4 linked regions of the Saccharomyces cerevisiae S288C genome follow. The main gene of each other region encodes a partner of the protein of the gene in region 2 in a complex. Each region holds a gene or a part of one and is shown on either strand. Other genes may lie near its edges. The genes, in order: GCD1, GCD6, GCD2 and GCN3. A codon is read from its position in the direction of its gene.

The links.
Region 1: the proteins of GCD6 (region 2) and GCD1 are in contact, whole or in part, in a cryo-EM structure (PDB 6I7T), measured with the Saccharomyces cerevisiae proteins. Residues at the interface, in NP_010497.3 of Saccharomyces cerevisiae: Pro175 (codon at 2,117), Lys176 (codon at 2,114), Lys189 (codon at 2,075), Leu200 (codon at 2,042), Pro201 (codon at 2,039), Leu202 (codon at 2,036), Pro203 (codon at 2,033), Ser205 (codon at 2,027), Arg206 (codon at 2,024), Lys208 (codon at 2,018), Thr209 (codon at 2,015), Ser210 (codon at 2,012), Ile211 (codon at 2,009), Gln212 (codon at 2,006), Ile213 (codon at 2,003), Asp214 (codon at 2,000), Pro215 (codon at 1,997), Glu216 (codon at 1,994), Asp222 (codon at 1,976), Glu223 (codon at 1,973), Phe224 (codon at 1,970), Val225 (codon at 1,967), Ile226 (codon at 1,964), Arg227 (codon at 1,961), Asn228 (codon at 1,958), Asp229 (codon at 1,955); in NP_014903.1 of Saccharomyces cerevisiae: Lys202 (codon at 1,634), Gln217 (codon at 1,589), Val225 (codon at 1,565), Thr248 (codon at 1,496), Tyr252 (codon at 1,484), Leu253 (codon at 1,481), Gln254 (codon at 1,478), Ile255 (codon at 1,475), Arg256 (codon at 1,472), Ser257 (codon at 1,469), His258 (codon at 1,466), Leu260 (codon at 1,460), Trp261 (codon at 1,457), Pro264 (codon at 1,448), Asn265 (codon at 1,445), Leu266 (codon at 1,442), Thr267 (codon at 1,439), Val268 (codon at 1,436), Ser269 (codon at 1,433), Thr270 (codon at 1,430), Lys271 (codon at 1,427), Asn308 (codon at 1,316), Gln309 (codon at 1,313).
Region 3: GCD6 (region 2) and GCD2 share a complex: the UniProt entries of both Saccharomyces cerevisiae proteins name them as parts of the translation initiation factor 2B (eIF2B) complex.
Region 4: the proteins of GCD6 (region 2) and GCN3 are in contact, whole or in part, in a cryo-EM structure (PDB 6QG0), measured with the Saccharomyces cerevisiae proteins. Residues at the interface, in NP_010497.3 of Saccharomyces cerevisiae: Glu321 (codon at 1,679), Lys327 (codon at 1,661), Val331 (codon at 1,649), Val332 (codon at 1,646), Leu333 (codon at 1,643), Ala334 (codon at 1,640), Gln335 (codon at 1,637), Ser336 (codon at 1,634), Cys337 (codon at 1,631), Ile339 (codon at 1,625); in NP_012951.1 of Saccharomyces cerevisiae: Asp122 (codon at 1,950), Phe146 (codon at 2,022), Arg148 (codon at 2,028), Phe149 (codon at 2,031), Arg150 (codon at 2,034), Ile174 (codon at 2,106), Pro175 (codon at 2,109).

Annotation. Positions count from the first base shown.
Region 1 is NC_001147.6:812,049-816,220, reverse strand, and holds GCD1 (translation initiation factor eIF2B subunit gamma), read right to left. Parts: upstream 2,238-4,172; coding exon 501-2,237; downstream 1-500. Other genes in the region: proteasome regulatory particle lid subunit RPN8, read left to right, coding at 1-306; proteasome regulatory particle base subunit RPT4, read left to right, coding at 2,513-3,826; HNT3 (DNA 5'-adenosine monophosphate hydrolase), read right to left, coding at 3,897-4,172. UniProt on the Saccharomyces cerevisiae protein: Acts as a component of the translation initiation factor 2B (eIF2B) complex, which catalyzes the exchange of GDP for GTP on the eukaryotic initiation factor 2 (eIF2) complex gamma subunit.
Region 2 is NC_001136.10:881,665-887,365, reverse strand, and holds GCD6 (translation initiation factor eIF2B catalytic subunit epsilon), read right to left. Parts: upstream 2,640-5,701; coding exon 501-2,639; downstream 1-500. Other genes in the region: chaperonin-containing T-complex alpha subunit TCP1, read right to left, coding at 1-134; YDR210C-C (gag protein), read left to right, coding at 3,439-4,761. UniProt on the Saccharomyces cerevisiae protein: Acts as a catalytic component of the translation initiation factor 2B (eIF2B) complex, which catalyzes the exchange of GDP for GTP on eukaryotic initiation factor 2 (eIF2) and is regulated by phosphorylated eIF2.
Region 3 is NC_001139.9:644,360-648,764, forward strand, and holds GCD2 (translation initiation factor eIF2B subunit delta), read right to left. Parts: upstream 2,457-4,405; coding exon 501-2,456; downstream 1-500. Other genes in the region: TOM complex receptor protein TOM20, read left to right, coding at 1-236; mitochondrial 37S ribosomal protein mS44 MRP13, read right to left, coding at 2,764-3,783; 60S ribosomal protein uL5 RPL11B, read right to left, coding at 4,024-4,405. UniProt on the Saccharomyces cerevisiae protein: Acts as a component of the translation initiation factor 2B (eIF2B) complex, which catalyzes the exchange of GDP for GTP on the eukaryotic initiation factor 2 (eIF2) complex gamma subunit.
Region 4 is NC_001143.9:486,726-491,241, reverse strand, and holds GCN3 (translation initiation factor eIF2B subunit alpha), read left to right. Parts: upstream 1-1,586; coding exon 1,587-2,504; downstream 2,505-4,516. Other genes in the region: RPC37 (DNA-directed RNA polymerase III subunit C37), read right to left, coding at 2,624-3,472; DBP7 (putative ATP-dependent RNA helicase), read left to right, coding at 3,870-4,516. UniProt on the Saccharomyces cerevisiae protein: Acts as a component of the translation initiation factor 2B (eIF2B) complex, which catalyzes the exchange of GDP for GTP on the eukaryotic initiation factor 2 (eIF2) complex gamma subunit.

The sequences.
Region 1 (4,172 bases), on a different chromosome or scaffold from region 2:
AATCTGGGAACACCTGATGATGACGAAATAGATGTGGAGAATCATGACAGAATTAATATTTCAAATAACTTACAAAAGGCTTTAACTGTGAAAACTAATGATGAATTAATGGTTATATATATAAGCAATTTGGTTAGGTCAATTATCGCGTTTGATGATTTGATTGAAAACAAAATTCAAAATAAAAAAATTCAAGAACAAAGAGTAAAGGACAAACAATCAAAAGTCTCTGATGACAGTGAGAGTGAGAGTGGTGACAAAGAAGCAACTGCGCCATTGATCCAACGAAAGAACAAGAAAAATTAATTCAAAAATTAACATAACATAATATATGAAATAGATGTGTAAAACGCTATGTATTAATACAACATGTTAATTTGCTTAAGCATAATTATGTTCTGTTGAATTTCAAATATAAATGCATAATATCGCCTCTATTCTCGTCCACTTACTTACTTGGTCTCTATTAAAGAGACTGAAGGAATATACATAAGTTTATATTAACGCTCAAATAATCCGTCATCTTCGTACTCGTACTCGTCGGTATATTCACTATCATCAGAATCTTCATCGCTTCTATCATCACTGTCAGTTTCTTCGGCGATTTCACTTTCTCCAGCAATAACACTATCATCATATATTAACTCGTCCTCCTCATCTTCATCCAAATAAACGTTGGCCAGTGTTTCACCTTTAAAGTTATTTTTAGGCTCCACAACATAATGGCCTTCGATATAACAATTGCTGAGTTTACACTTTGAACCGATTTTTGCCATAGGTCCAATAATACAATTTTCCAGGATTACTTCGTCACCAAGATGGACTCCAGGAAATAAGAGAGACCCTGCAACACGACATCTGGAACCAATATTGGCCTGAGTACCGAGAACAGACATCTTGACATTACTATGAGCAGAGATTTGGCATTTGGGATCTACTATGGCATCAGCACCGATAGCGGCAGATTGAATCTGTATATTTTTCGTGAACATCGTTTGTGATTTTATCTTTAGTACAAATCTATTAGCGTCCATGTAAGCATTCAAGTTATTGGCTCTGATGAACAAGGTTTCGTTTGGTAAAATAAAAATACCTATTGGTTCCCTCGGTTTCGAATGTTGCCACGAACGACGAGATAAATCTCTAAAAACCTTACTCAATGATTTATTACAGTTTATTGGGTCCAAGATGAGATCATTCTTTTTTTTGAAGTAGGTAGGCTGGATAGATGTAGCCGAAGGTTTGTAATCATCGTCATCATCATGATTGCGATCTTCATCATCATCAGTAGTAGGAGGGTTTTGCTGTTGTTGGTTTCCAGTAAATGGATCTTTGAATGAAGCTTGTCTTGACATTGATTGAGGTCCTAATTTTAACAACTGGCAAAGTTCAAAGGAACAAAAGTAGATGAATGAGTTCAGTAACTTAGTGGATACTGTTAAATTTGGATAGTTCCATAATAAATGAGATCTGATCTGTAGATATTTTGTCTTTGTGACGTCCCTTTGAGAATAAACGTCCAAAAGTATTGGCTGCCTCTCTGAGTCTTCGTTTTCTGAATAAACAGTGAAAAATTGCTGTTGTTTTTGCTTTTGCTGTTGCTTTTTATCGATACTACTATCTAAAGAGTTCTTATAGTAGATAGTCATTGCTAGGTTATTATCATCCCTATTCCTAAATTGATCGACCAAGACTTGTGGAGGTATATCTGTGACAAAATCACAGGGCAAGATTACAAAATCGCCATTGATTCTAGGCAAAAGCTCTTTTTGCAAGGACTCACCTGTAGAATTTGCCTTCGAAGGGATGAAATTAATTTTCTTAGGATCTTGCAAGTGATGACTGTGGTTGGAATTTGACAAAGCCTTGTATATTAGTTCAAATTGTTGCTTTCTTAGGGACAAAAACGAAGTCAGTCCACTTTCAATTAATTCGATTTCGTCAACGGGTGCGACCACACTGATTTCTTTGAAATCTGCCTGATCACACCAATCCAAGACGTATTCAATCATAGGTCTATTACCGATGGGCAAAAGAGCCTTGGGCAAGCGCGTTGAATGTTGCATGAACTCATTTATGACAGTTGAATCGAGGGCGCTATTGACCAACTCATTAAGTTTGTCACCGCTCGTGGCAGCTGTACTGTCTTTGTTCTGCGTTTGGAATGGAAAATCTGGCTGGGTGAAGGGAGCCAAATTGGAACCTTTACCGCAAAAGACAAAAGCCTGAATTGACATGACTACGACAATAGGGGGGGGAGCTATCAACGGTGGGAACTTTTGGTCAGCACAGCGTTCAGCATTTTCTGTTGCATCGTAAAGTGCTTGATTGTTATATTTCAATATAGTGATGAGAAGTGAAAAATTTTGCGATAGGCGGGTGACCTTTCAAATAGTGGAATTTGCCACCGAAGGGAAAGGAAGCTTGAAATACCATAGTGAAGTAAATTAAATCTAGTACCTCGCACCGGTTCCAAAGATAACAGACGAAGCAAAGATATTAATAACTAAGAATGAGTGAAGAACAGGACCCTTTATTAGCAGGATTGGGGGAAACGTCCGGCGACAATCACACCCAACAGTCACACGAACAACAACCAGAACAACCACAGGAAACGGAAGAACATCATGAAGAGGAGCCTTCTAGAGTGGATCCTGAACAGGAGGCCCATAACAAGGCCTTGAATCAATTCAAGAGAAAGCTGCTAGAACACAGAAGGTATGATGATCAATTGAAGCAGCGCCGTCAAAATATACGAGATCTAGAGAAGTTATATGACAAGACTGAAAACGACATAAAAGCTTTGCAAAGTATTGGACAATTGATTGGCGAAGTCATGAAGGAATTATCTGAAGAGAAATATATAGTGAAGGCCTCTTCGGGCCCACGTTATATTGTCGGAGTTAGGAATTCGGTAGATCGCTCTAAATTAAAGAAAGGGGTGAGAGTCACCTTAGATATCACCACTTTGACTATAATGAGAATTTTGCCCAGAGAGACAGATCCACTGGTGTATAATATGACCAGTTTTGAACAAGGTGAAATCACTTTTGATGGTATTGGTGGTTTGACTGAGCAAATCAGAGAATTAAGGGAGGTTATAGAATTACCATTGAAGAACCCAGAAATTTTCCAGAGGGTCGGTATCAAACCTCCAAAGGGTGTGCTACTATATGGTCCCCCTGGTACTGGTAAAACTTTACTAGCGAAGGCAGTTGCTGCTACGATTGGAGCCAACTTCATTTTCTCTCCAGCGTCTGGTATTGTGGATAAATACATTGGTGAGTCTGCTCGTATTATTAGAGAAATGTTTGCATATGCAAAGGAACACGAACCTTGCATCATTTTTATGGATGAAGTGGATGCTATTGGTGGTAGAAGATTCAGTGAAGGTACTTCAGCAGACCGTGAAATTCAACGTACGTTGATGGAGTTGTTGACCCAGATGGATGGTTTTGATAATCTTGGACAGACTAAAATCATCATGGCTACGAATAGACCAGATACTTTAGATCCTGCTTTGTTGAGGCCCGGTAGACTAGACAGGAAAGTTGAAATCCCATTGCCAAATGAGGCCGGCAGATTAGAAATTTTCAAAATTCATACTGCAAAAGTCAAAAAAACAGGGGAATTTGACTTCGAGGCTGCTGTAAAAATGAGTGATGGTTTCAATGGTGCTGATATTCGTAACTGTGCAACTGAAGCAGGTTTTTTCGCCATAAGAGATGACCGTGATCACATCAACCCTGATGATTTAATGAAAGCCGTAAGAAAAGTAGCTGAAGTTAAGAAATTGGAAGGCACTATAGAATACCAAAAATTATGATGTTAAAAAGACATGTGTATGTATAGGTATGTGTATATCAGTAACAAAAAGAAATGCGAGAAAGCTTGCCTTATTTAAGCTCGAAATGGCTATTGAACTCTAGTTCTAAATGCTTTTTCAATAAGCTAAATTTATTACTAAAATTTCGCTGACAATAGCAGCAAAGTAAATCGTGTTCTTTCAGGTACGTAGTTTCAATTTCCTTGTCAGTGCCCAAATTTTTTCCGTTCAATGGTAAATCGTCCCAACTAATGAAGAATCCAGTATTAAATGAATTATAATGTTTTTTGTTCTTCAATCTTACCGAATGGAAATCTTTGGATATGACGTGTATATGTAAGTTGGC
Region 2 (5,701 bases):
CCTAAAGATGACTTGACGACGTTAGCCACAGCCATAGTAGCCAAAACATTCTGATTACGAATATCATCACCACTTATTTTTTCACCTCCTAGGAAAAGGGTATCTGAGCGCGAGTTATTGAATAATTGGGACATCGCTAAGTTATTACAAATATAAAAGTCTTCTGTCTATTGTTATTGTCCCTTTCTTGTACTCTCTCAGTGGCCTCTCTTTTGCTTAAGTTATTTACTCTTCATGTGATACCACCGCATTTCAATTTTTTTTTTTTTCAGTTCTTTGCCACTTAGGACAAGGTCCCTCGGCAAGTGAAAAAAAAAAATCTGAGATTATTATTTCAGTAGTACTACTGAGGATAAAAACTAATATGATAAAAAATATATATATATTTGCTTTTTGCTTCTGTAACATGTAAATTACTAAATCTATATAGCGCTCACCTTTTTCTCATATTAAAGCCTTTTTATGGTAATACATGATTATGCAGGGTACTGCGTGGACTTTTATTCCTCTTCTGAGGAAGATTCTTCGTCAGCATTCTGTAACCACTCAACCCACTTTACAGTTAATTTCTTGACTTCATCATAGCGAGGGTCAGTAGAAACATTATCCCACCATTTATAAATGACATCCTCCTCAATTATGTCATTATCGTATAGAGAAACCAATGCACTAAATAGAATCAAATCCGGTTTGTCAAAACTCTGTTCTACAATTTTTTCCATTATGATGTTCATCAAATCAATATACTCTTCTTCATCAAAGGCTTGTCTCTTGAACAACAGTCCCCACTGATTAAAAACCTTCACCACAGCGTCCTTGGGACCTAATGTTTGAGTTGCAATAAAGTGGTAAACTCTTCTCAATAATGCAGTTATTGTTGCTATTCTCACCTCATGATATGTCACGTTCATACTCATTCTCAAGGTGTTCAATTCTAATAATGCTGTGTCAAGATCATGATTGTTTTCCATAGCACGCTCCACGGTGGCAATACCTTCTTTCTCAAAATCTTCGTCCTCAAATTCAGAATCAATTTCTTCTCTATCCGTGTATATACTATTGACAGACATCGTTCTTCTTTTCTTTGTCTTTTTAGTGGCGGAAGAAATTGAATCGTCACTTAAGTATAACTCATCTAATTGGTTACTCAAAGTGTTTATTTCTTTGCAGGCTTCTGTAGAACTATCTTCATCGTCAGACACCTCGCTTTCGTAAATATAACCAACACCCTTATCTCCAACAATAGAAACGGCTAGTGTCTGATCATCAAGGTCTTGGTCAAACTGCTCATTGCTTTCATTATCATACATTCTTGAGCCGGCATTTTTTAATGGACTGGCAGATATTTTTGTGTTTCTATCTAAATCCATATTATCATCAATTTTAACGTTGAAACCAATTATACAGCCATCATTTAGGCGTACATTACTCCCTAACGTGGCATTAGAGGCAATTAATGAATGGTCAATTATACTGTTATTTCCGATGATACAGTCATCCCAAATGAAACTGTTCTTGATTCTAATATTTTCACCGATTTGGCAGTTCCTTCCAATCACGGAATTCTCAATTTTCGTACCCTCTCCGATTTTTGTTCCTGATCCAATTGCAGTGCACTTACCAATTTTACAGGATTGGGCCAAAACAACGTCTTTTTCCTTGTATATATGTCTTGATTCATAAGAATACGTTTGATCGTCCTGTATGTTAGAGTCTAAGACCAAGGGATAACACCATCTACCTAAAAAGTCTTGAGAAATGGTGTCGTAAGTTTGCCAACTTTCAACTCTTACAGCATATTCGTCCGTCAAATAGGCATATATATGCTTTCCCAATATATCGCTTGAAATGACACCTTTAACAAAGTCTGTCCTTAATGATTGGTAGTCAAAATTTTCTTGAAATATCAAAGGTACATGAGATGTACAAATGTCAATTCTACAATCGATGAGGTCATTCCTTATGACAAATTCATCGACATTATCCAACAATTCTGGGTCAATCTGAATGGAAGTCTTCTCTCTAGAGCTTGGTAATGGTAAATCTTGGTAATAAATACACCTACTGGTGGATTTGTCTAAGACAAATGCGGCAGGCTCAATAGTTCTTGTTTTTGGATAGGTACTCGCTTTGCTCAAACACATTGTCGAGATGTGATCTTTATCTTGCAAATGCATTTTTTTGTGAAATTCTAGCATTTTGCTGAAATCGATGTTAGTCAATACATCACCACTGACTAAAATAAAATCTCCAGTAATGATACCTCTATTATCTAGATCTCTCATAACATCACCCGTACATCTAGCTTCTGGAGACATAATGGTGGTAATTTTAAATGGAGACCAAGGCAAGTTCCACTTAGAATTCTCAATATAGTCATTAATTTGGTTGGCATGAGAAGAGCAAATTAAGAAAACTTCATGTACGCCAGCCTTAGCCAAAAATTCTAAGGTGTATTCAATGAGAGGTACGTTAGCCAGTGGCAGCAAACACCTTGGCTTGACAGCTGTCAGTGGCATAAACCTAGTTTCATAAGAGTCTGTCAAGACAACGGCCTGGAGACGATCTTCAACATCCATATCAGAGTTCTTTCCATGGTTGCCTAGTCCACTTTTCTTTTGTCCCTTTTTTCCAGCCATCTTTTGCCTTATGAGTGGTTTCTATTCTATTTTTAACACAAGACCACTTTTAGTTATTTTTATACTTATCCCACAAGGTGGTCCATCTGCCATCTTTGAATTGGTGATTTAACTCTTCGCATTAATCTACTGAAAAAAAAAAAAAAAAAAAAAAGAACTGAAAACCATCTAAAGTCAAATAAGCTCATGTAATACGGGCATGTTGCAAACGCGTGTGAAAAAAAAAGAGAAAGTGCTCGAGGTGGGGTTTGAACCCACGACGGTCGCGTTGCTTTTAAAGGCCTGTTTGAAAGGTCTTTGGCACAGAAACTTCGGAAACCGAATGTTGCTATAAGCACGAAGCTCTAACCACTGAGCTACACGAGCATTTTCGAAAGAGACGTAAATAACATTGTTATTTATACTGGAATTAGTACTAATAATTTTATTAAAAAAAAAAATAGCTCTTTCTGAGAATTCTTTGAATTTTGGGAAAATTGTCGGGATATTAGTGTTAAAGAGGCCATTGTTGGAATAAAAATCAACTATCATCTACTAACTAGTATTTACGTTACTAGTATATTATCATATACGGTGTTAGAAGATGACGCAAATGATGAGAAATAGTCATCTAAATTAGTGGAAGCTGAAACGCAAGGATTGATAATGTAATAGGATCAATGAATATTAACATATAAAACGATGATAATAATATTTATAGAATTGTGTAGAATTGCAGATTCCCTTTTATGGATTCCTAAATCCTCGAGGAGAACTTCTAGTATATTCTGTATACCTAATATTATAGCCTTTATCAACAATGGAATCCCAACAATTATCTAATTACCCACATATATCTCATGGTAGCGCCTGTGCTTCGGTTACTTCTAAGGAAGTCCACACAAATCAAGATCCGTTAGACGTTTCAGCTTCCAAAATTCAAGAATATGATAAGGCTTCCACTAAGGCTAACTCTCAACAGACAACAACACCTGCTTCATCAGCTGTTCCAGAGAACCCCCATCATGCCTCTCCTCAACCTGCTTCAGTACCACCTCCACAGAATGGGCCGTACCCACAGCAGTGCATGATGACCCAAAACCAAGCCAATCCATCTGGTTGGTCATTTTACGGACACCCATCTATGATTCCGTATACACCTTATCAAATGTCGCCTATGTACTTTCCACCTGGGCCACAATCACAGTTTCCGCAGTATCCATCATCAGTTGGAACGCCTCTGAGCACTCCATCACCTGAGTCAGGTAATACATTTACTGATTCATCCTCAGCGGACTCTGATATGACATCCACTAAAAAATATGTCAGACCACCACCAATGTTAACCTCACCTAATGACTTTCCAAATTGGGTTAAAACATACATCAAATTTTTACAAAACTCGAATCTCGGTGGTATTATTCCGACAGTAAACGGAAAACCCGTACGTCAGATCACTGATGATGAACTCACCTTCTTGTATAACACTTTTCAAATATTTGCTCCCTCTCAATTCCTACCTACCTGGGTCAAAGACATCCTATCCGTTGATTATACGGATATCATGAAAATTCTTTCCAAAAGTATTGAAAAAATGCAATCTGATACCCAAGAGGCAAACGACATTGTGACCCTGGCAAATTTGCAATATAATGGCAGTACACCTGCAGATGCATTTGAAACAAAAGTCACAAACATTATCGACAGACTGAACAATAATGGCATTCATATCAATAACAAGGTCGCATGCCAATTAATTATGAGAGGTCTATCTGGCGAATATAAATTTTTACGCTACACACGTCATCGACATCTAAATATGACAGTCGCTGAACTGTTCTTAGATATCCATGCTATTTATGAAGAACAACAGGGATCGAGAAACAGCAAACCTAATTACAGGAGAAATCGGAGTGATGAGAAGAATGATTCTCGCAGCTATACGAATACAACCAAACCCAAAGTTATAGCTCGGAATCCTCAAAAAACAAATAATTCGAAATCGAAAACAGCCAGGGCTCACAATGTATCCACATCTATTAACTCTCCCAGCACGGACAACGATTCCATCAGTAAATCAACTACTGAACCGATTCAATTGAACAATAAGCACGACCTTCATCTTAGGCCAGAAACTTACTGAATCTACAGTAAATCATACTAATCATTCTGATGATGAACTCCCTGGACACCTCCTTCTCGATTCAGGAGCATCACGAACCCTTATAAGATCTGCTCATCACATACACTCAGCATCATCTAATCCTGACATAAACGTAGTTGATGCTCAAAAAAGAAATATACCAATTAACGCTATTGGTGACCTACAATTTCACTTCCAGGACAACACCAAAACATCAATAAAGGTATTGCACACTCCTAACATAGCCTATGACTTACTCAGTTTGAATGAATTGGCTGCAGTAGATATCACAGCATGCTTTACCAAAAACGTCTTAGAACGATCTGACGGCACTGTACTTGCACCTATCGTAAAATATGGAGACTTTTACTGGGTATCTAAAAAGTACTTGCTTCCATCAAATATCTCCGTACCCACCATCAATAATGTCCATACAAGTGAAAGTACACGCAAATATCCTTATCCTTTCATTCATCGAATGCTTGCGCATGCCAATGCACAGACAATTCGATACTCACTTAAAAATAACACCATCACGTATTTTAACGAATCAGATGTCGACTGGTCTAGTGCTATTGACTATCAATGTCCTGATTGTTTAATCGGCAAAAGCACCAAACACAGACATATCAAAGGTTCACGACTAAAATACCAAAATTCATACGAACCCTTTCAATACCTACATACTGACATATTTGGTCCAGTTCACAACCTACCAAATAGTGCACCATCCTATTTCATCTCATTTACTGATGAGACAACAAAATTCCGTTGGGTTTATCCATTACACGACCGTCGCGAGGACTCTATCCTCGATGTTTTTACTACGATACTAGCTTTTATTAAAAACCAGTTTCAGGCCAGTGTCTTGGTTATACAAATGGACCGTGGTTCTGAGTATACTAACAGAACTCTCCATAAATTCCTTGAAAAAAATGGT
Region 3 (4,405 bases), on a different chromosome or scaffold from region 2:
AACAAGGTAAGGAACTGGAAGCAGCCTCTAAGTTTTATAAAGCATTGACTGTATACCCTCAGCCAGCCGATTTATTGGGAATTTACCAAAGATCCATTCCTGAAGCCATTTACGAATATATTATATTAATGATTGCCATCTTGCCTCCTGCTAATGTGGCTTCTTTCGTTAAAGGAGTTGTTGGAAGCAAGGCCGAATCTGATGCGGTTGCTGAAGCTAACGATATCGATGACTGAGAGTAACATTTTGCTTGCTTTTTTTCTCCGTTTTTGTTTCTTTTACTCTGTATATAGCCCTATATAATTACATCATTTCTCTAGCCTAAATCTTGTTATATATACCAAGCTTTTTGGAAAGCTAAGGATAAAAACAATTCTTTTCATTAGATGTATTTTTTCATCGTATTAGGTGTAATATATATATATATGTATATATATATATATATATAATATATATGTAGTATACACACGTGGACGACCATTAACGAATGTTGTATATGCTTATGCGGAACCTTTGTACTCTCTTAAAATAACAGGGACAGATGAAGGTGGCAAAGCGCCGAATTCAGTGATCACTTTTTTAATATATTCTGGTGGTGTTAAATCGTATAAGATGTTGACAATATTTAACGAAGGTAACTCTTGCCAACCATCCAAAATATTTTTGCTGTTGCTGTCTTCTTCATTACTGGCGTCCTTGCTTTCTCCTTCAGATCCTTTCTTACCGCCAATTTTATTACCCTTTGGCTTATTCTCCATTGCTAGCTTTTTCTTTTCAAATTTTCTTTCTTTGATAAATTGGTTTAATAACGCACCTTTATTACCGCGTCTCTCGACTGGATTTTCGTAATCTATATTAACCAGGTCATTTGGATCTGCCAGTTCATTAAATGTGACACTATCCAATTGTACTCTTTGTGAAAACTTCAAACTTTCGCAGCAGACTAATACAGGTATATTTCTTCTCTTAGCGCTCATAGCCAACATTGCTGTCCCAGCTCTTGAATATAGGAACCCATTAGATAGGATAGAATGGGCTCCTAAAAACACATAGTCCACATCCATATTGAATATCGTATCCAAACTTGTAATAAGTGCATACATAACATTGACACCAGCATTTCTTAAAGTTTCTGCCATTTTCCGCCCTTCAAATAGTGGTCTCGAATCGACGACAATCACTTTGATGTTTTTCTTTAAACTGATTGCATTATGCAGTAACAGTTCAGTTAGAACCTTTGATGAACCATATGTCACAATAGTAGTAGATTCTTCAATTTGTGTAGAGGCATTGTCTATAATTAGTTGATCAGCCAGTTCGATTTTTTCTTTAGCAAACTGCCCAATTTTCTCACAAAGGTCTTTTTTGGCGGCTTTGTCGGGGGTAGATGGGTCAATTAATGAAATTTCTTGCTTTAACCATCTGATAGCATTACCCATAGTAACACTTAAAGGTCTAGCTTTTTTCAAAAGATCAATCTGGTGTGACAAATAACTTGTTAAGTTACGTGACAAGGTAGTTCCCTTAGGTGTTTGATAGTCTTTGATAACAATTTGGAAAACCTCTAGCATGGCTATGCAACGTGGGATGGATCCCACGATTTTATAGTGTGCTAGATGAGAAGTTAATAATAATATCGACGGATGGATAAGGTCTTTATTCAATAAAAGTTCCTTAACAGACGATATCAAGCTGGAGTTGTCAAATGATTGTTCTAACACGGTAGGGATCACTGACGATATACCGGGAATGACATTAAACTCACCAGCCTCTAACGAGATAGATGCCAATGTCTTGGCAACATCAGAAGCGTTTGATGAAGCAATCTCTTGTTGTATAGCTGTTGGAGTATTTGTTGACGCAGAACTGGTACCGGCAGAGAGTGCTGCAGAAGAGGCAGGAAGAGTCGTTGTTGTTGAAGCTGGAGCTGATGCAGATACAGTAGACGACGCGTTTGGACCCACGGGCATCAAGGAAGAAGCCGTTAATACGTTAGATCCTGATAATGCACTAGCCACCACGGGGACCATCAACCCAGCAGCGGTGATTCGCGAAGTTTTTGGAGATGATACTGCACTGGTTAAAGCTAAAATTGTCGCTCTTCTTTCTTCAGTAGTTTCCAGATGACCAAAAAGTGTGCTCTTTTTCACGTTTCGTTCATTTTGTTTTTTTTTATTGGCATTTTTTTGCTTTTGCTCTCTTTTCTGTTGTTGCTCACGTTGTAGTTGTTTCTTCTCTTTTTTCATTTGTGCTTGTTGTTGCTGTTGTTCAATGGATATACCATTAGCCTGCTTCATTGCAGCTCTCTTTGCAGCTTTTTCTTGTTTCTTTAGTTCTTTTAGCTCCTTGTTTGTTAATTTCTTTTCTCCATTAGCTGCAGCTGTAGTTGTTGGAGTAGCTTGTTTAGCTTTACTTGGCGGTGTAGCCGACCTAGATTTGGCTTCCGATTCGCTCATAGCAATTTGATTATCGACGCTTCTTTGACAACGTATTTCTTACGTGGTGAAAATAAGATCTTATGCACTTACGCTGATTATCTATAGCTGGTGATGCCTTGTTGTAGAATACTCATTTTCACTAAACTCGAAAAAAAAAAATTGAAAAATTGGAAAAAAGCGAGAGGTACTGAAAATTGTGAAGAGATTCCCGGGTAAATATAAACATAATTAATACAATAATAGCAATATATGTGACGAACTGTGTTCTACTTTTTAGTATTTACAGGTATGTTTATTTATATATTTCCTATGGGGTGTTTTGGTACTATTTTTCCTCTTTTTCGGTGGATTCCTGAGGAGGTGGTGTTTCCAACAGTCCCAACGCTTTCAAATGCGTGTCGTATGGATCGCTGGATTCACTTAATGCATTTTGATATTGGCGTATAAATTCTTGCAATTCTAGATATTGAGCATTGTGTTGATCGATGTCCAATAATGTTCTTGCAATAAGGTATATCCCCTCGTATTTGCTTAGCAAGTCCTTTAGTTCCGCGCCACTTGATGAATTGGGGATATCTGGTAAACTAATATCTACAGGTTGCAAGCCCGTCAGCTCTGGGGTAAATCCAATCTGTCTACCTAATGTTGCAACAAGAATATTTGCTAGTCCAGTATTATTTTTTCTATTTAATACCTTTTTCCAAGCAACCTGCAGTTTCCTCTGAGCAATTTCTGCATCTTTATAGTCTTTCAACCTATTTCGATGCAAAGCACACATGATATTAGTATTAAAAAAATGCTCGATATCAAATACGGATGGATTTTGCGCTTTGAGAAACTTGTGCTCAATACCATATAAGAGTCCTACCATGTGCGCATATTTACCGATTTTGAAAAATGACGCAGTCAACATCTTTTGAACATGAATTGGTGAGATGTACGTCCAAATAGCGCGCTTTCTTATGGAGGTCCCTGTCCATTCTTTGAACCAATCTAGTAGTTCTGTCGAGTTGGGTTCAACCGAATAAATAAAATCATTTAACGTTTGCTTCGACAGTGGCTTTACGGGAGGTCTCGGTTGTAATGGTTCCCTTGTTTTTGGATCCCTAATATCTTTAGTTAACAATATCTGAGCATTCTTGGGACGGTAAATGAATGGTTTTAGTTTCGCATCTGTCTTGTGGTATATCAAGAATTCATCCAGCTTTGCTTTCGCAATTTCGCCGGTAGATGCAAAACGTCTCCAAACTGTACTTCTGAACATTTTCTTGTTGGTCGTTGCTCGGTGCAATGCCCTTATCAACAGTATTGGTCCCTCATTAATCACCACTGTTATGGTTCCCATTTTCTTAATAAGAAAGGTTTAGCTTTTTTTCAGCACATTTTCTATTACCCTGCATGGTGAGTATCAAATAAGTGCCAATAAATTGGGTATGAATACAACTAAATACATTGACAAAGTGTTCACAACGCATCGAAGCGCTAGACTTGCAAATGTGATGAGGATATATGATATTTTTGGGATATTTTATTTGTTCTTATATATTAAGTAGTTGATGTTGTCACTGACTATACCGAGACCAAATTATTTATCGAGCACATCAGCGTCGTACTTTTGCTTGAACCAAGAGACGGTGTCTTCCTTAGTTGTCTTGTGGGAGTTACCAACAGTACCCTTACATCTCTTTCTTCTAGTGACTCTAGCACCTGGTCTGTTCATGACGACATAGAAATCCATACCGAAAATACCGATGGATGGGTCATACTTGATACCCAAGTCAATGTGTTCGTCAATACCGAAACCGAAGTTACCGGTAGCAGAGAAGTTTCTGTCTCTCAATTGGTATTCCTTGACCTTCAAACCTCTTTCCAAAATTTCTTCAGCCTTTGGACCTCTGACGGTAACGTGAACAGCAATTTTTTCGTTTCTTCTGATACCGAAAGTTCTGACAGTGTATCTGGCCTTG
Region 4 (4,516 bases), on a different chromosome or scaffold from region 2:
ATGTTGAATTTAGATACACCATTGTGCATACATCTTATTTTTCCCAAACGGTGTAACAATGCCTCGGAAACCTGATGACGAATTGCTAAAATAATACGGCATTGTACGGCACCAGGACTGGCAACGTAGCATTTCCAATATTATAATATTTTTACTCAATAACTGAAAAGATAATAAGAAAATTATAAAAGTAAAAAAATTCTTCCCCGCCAGGACTTGAACCTGGAATCTTCTGGTTCGTAGCCAGACGCCGTGACCATTGGGCCACGAGGAACAAGAATTATTAAGAGACATTAAAAATTGAGAACCCTAAGTATCAGCACTATTTATTGCATGATTTTTTACCTAATATAGTAGTTCAAATTACCAGACCCAACTAATCCTGCTCTAAGAAGTAAGAAATGTGTGAATTTTGAAATAATTGTTGGGTTCCATTGTGAATAAAAGCTATCATTGAGAAATGTTTGAATAATATGATAATTACTGGTGTTCCATTATTGTTGAAGGCTATGATACACAATATACTAAAAGTTCTCTTCGAGGATATTAGAAATGCGGAAGAAGGAATCGGTATTCATGAATAGTAATGTTATTGTCTCGTTTTTTTACTTTATATGCTTATTCTTTATCTTGTTACGTTATCAATGCTTGCATTTCAGCTTCTATTATATTTAATAACCGTTTCTCATTCTTAATGTCATCTTCTTACACTGTGTATGAGAACATACTGCTAATTTGTGTGCTAGTGCATAGATGGTAGTTAATTCTTATTCAGACAAAAAGTTTTAGTATCTGATCTGTTGTTAAACATGTTAGATAAGTATTTTTTGGAATAAAGATCCACTATCGTATATTGGCTAGCGGTCGTGACACTAATATGTTATTACATACTGCATAAATAGAATACACAAATCGTGAGGTACAGTCATCCAATGTTGTGGAAGTCGATACTCAAGACCTAAAGAAAAATAAAATTTCTGAATGAAAAACATAACGATAGTAAAAATGAGCGGTATGTTATGACATAGGAGATAGAAGAACAAAACTGATCTGATCAAATTATTTTAAGAATATTTTACTAGTATGTTTACTACATGACAATCTGCAGCAGTGCCAGCTACATGGTGATCTCTCCAAAACAGACCAAACAATTTGCGCTTGTATTGCTTTTCAAAATAAAACTAAACATATGTAATTGTGCTTACAAGAATTGCTAGCTATATCTTATGTTGGTAATAGATAACGATTAGTAATACCTTTTATGAGAAAGAATAAGGAGGCAATGCCATCATTTTCGCCACATTAAGAGTGCACGACTCTATCCAGGGAATTTGATACAACACAGCAACATTGTCGCCATATTTAAAGCTTTCTACATAGCATAATGTTTTTTTTTTTTTACAATAGATAAATTTCATCCGGAAGAAAAATGAAAAAAAAATGAAAAAATTGGTGAAGTTTATGGTGTAAAATGAGAATCATACTGCTCAAATAGTGACAAAGCCATCATTAATCATAGATTTCTTCATAGTAATTGATAGAAAGAATTTTAAAAGTCCTACGTATACCAGAAATCGAGAGGAAGGATGTCGGAGTTTAATATTACAGAAACTTATCTAAGGTTTTTAGAAGAAGATACTGAGATGACAATGCCGATTGCTGCCATTGAAGCATTGGTCACGCTATTAAGAATAAAAACACCAGAAACAGCGGCAGAAATGATTAATACAATAAAAAGCTCCACGGAAGAACTTATTAAATCCATTCCGAACTCAGTTTCCCTGAGAGCCGGTTGTGATATTTTCATGAGATTTGTCTTAAGAAATCTTCATTTATACGGTGATTGGGAAAACTGTAAACAACATTTGATTGAAAATGGCCAGCTTTTTGTATCGAGAGCCAAAAAATCGCGTAACAAGATTGCAGAAATAGGGGTGGATTTCATAGCTGATGATGATATCATCTTGGTACATGGTTATTCGAGAGCAGTATTTTCTTTATTAAATCATGCAGCAAATAAGTTTATTAGGTTCAGATGTGTGGTGACAGAATCAAGACCTAGCAAACAAGGGAACCAGCTATATACTTTACTTGAACAAAAGGGCATACCCGTGACTCTTATTGTCGATAGCGCGGTTGGAGCGGTAATCGATAAGGTTGACAAAGTGTTCGTTGGTGCTGAGGGTGTTGCTGAATCAGGTGGTATTATAAATCTCGTGGGTACCTATTCAGTGGGTGTTTTAGCACATAATGCAAGAAAACCATTCTATGTGGTCACTGAAAGTCACAAATTTGTTCGTATGTTTCCATTGTCTTCAGATGATCTACCTATGGCCGGCCCTCCTTTGGATTTCACACGTCGTACGGACGATCTAGAAGATGCATTGCGTGGGCCCACGATCGACTATACCGCCCAAGAATACATTACTGCATTGATTACAGATTTAGGGGTCCTCACTCCAAGTGCCGTTTCAGAAGAGTTAATCAAGATGTGGTATGATTAAAAAAAATCACATAATATATGCACGCAATGACTTAATAGAAAAGGAGAAAAAGCGCAAGAGCATCCTTTATGTGAAACTGATGTCTGATGCTGTTCTTTCTTCATGATGCATTATGTACTTCAAACTAGATTATCTATATAGTCTTCTTGTTTCTCTAAGGCTACTAAAGTTTTATCTTCAGCTTCTTTCACGATAGTATCTTTGAACTGTTCAAACGTGCCTTCTGCCCAGGTCAATTCAATATTAGCCTCTTCATCGGCGACTTTATGTGCCAGCAGGGAGCCAGTGAGTCTGTTTTGCGAAGGGTCGTTGACGCTCTTTACAGACATGGTAACCACTTGAGCGCGTTGTGATGAAGGATTAGGGTTCCTTCTGGCGTCCTCTTGCTTTCTTGTTACATTTGCGTCGTCGATATATTTGAAAAATGGCTTCAATTGTGCTACCCTCTCAATAGGTACCAAATAAACCTGCATATCTTTGACAAATGCTGCATATTGGCCATTGTTTTCCACACCCACGCCTTTTAATGTTTGGACATTAACCCCATTCCATTCGCTCTCAGCCTTATCCTTGTTATAGAAGGCCTGCTCATCCAAAGGAATATCTATTTCCCATAGGTGCGACTTGGGTTTATATCTTGCTGCAGAGATAAACGGATGCTCAGCAGGTTTGCGTCCTACTAGCCTTGGTCTATTAGCATACTGAAACACGTGCAGTGACTCCTCTTCTCCGGAGATCTTCAATGGAAACTCTTCGATCACTGGGTCATCCTCTTCTTCTTCACCAGTATCATCTTCAGCTTTTACTTCTTCGGATTTTTCCTCTTGCTCATTAGCTATAGCGCTGTTTGTTCCGTTCTCATCCGCTATCATATCAATGTCGTTAGATTCATCCTCAACATCAGCACGGTCCTGCGTCCTGTCTTCCTCATCCTCTTCAGTAACAAACAACTTGTTGTCAATACTCATCTATAACACTAGCCTATTCCACTTTCACCTTGCACTGCTTGAGCCAGATCATTTAAGCTCATCTCTCGCTTTTATCCATCTTTTGCATTCATTGTAACATTTCTTTTTTTCTTGAATAATTTTGTCAGAATACTAACCCTAAGGCCTGAAAAATGAACAGAGTTTTTATAAAATTTCAGTTTAAAATTGAATGTTGCCCTAACAATATGGATTAAAAACCCTGACATATTAGGTTTCCATTTTACTTGAAAAATTTGCGATGAGCTTAGGAAAATAAAAGATTGAGTACTTGTATGTGATATTTCTAATTTAAGAAAGTACGATTGTTTATATTCTTTTTCCTTTGGGATTATTCATATTCCAAATAAGCATACTTATTCAGCAATTTAACACCAAGATGAGCGATGAAGATTCTATGCTGTTAAACTTCACTACCAATGAGGACACTGCAGGAAGTTCCTATAAGCAAGCTGCCAAGGTGACAGGCGGTAGATGGAAGGATAGAAGAAGAATGAAAATGAAGCTTGAGGGCAAGACAGTCTCGAGGAAAAGAAAGGCGAACACTACAGGGGACGAAGGGATAATTCCGGGTAGAGGCGAGAATTCTATTAAAAAATTGCATAAGGAGAGTTCCTATAGTTCTGAAGAGCAGGAAAAATATAAGGGTAGAAATGCTCATAACACTCAAGGGAGAACTCTACCAGCCGATTCTCAGTTTGTTTCATCCCTGTTTACATCTAACAGAGAGATTACAACTGCGGTAAACACTAATATTCATGATGAAAACGTTGCCATCAATCCGTCTAACGCGCCCTTGAAAGGTGATCAGTTTGCGTCTTTAGGTGTCTCTAGTCTTCTTGTTTCTCATCTGGAGCAAAAAATGCGTATTAAAAAGCCTACGAGCATCCAGAAGCAGGCCATACCTCAAATAATAGGTAACGCGGGGAAGAACGATTTTTTCATTCACGCCCAAACAGGCTCAGGTAAGACTTTATCGTATCTTTTACCTATAATATCTACTATTTTGAACATGGATACTCATGT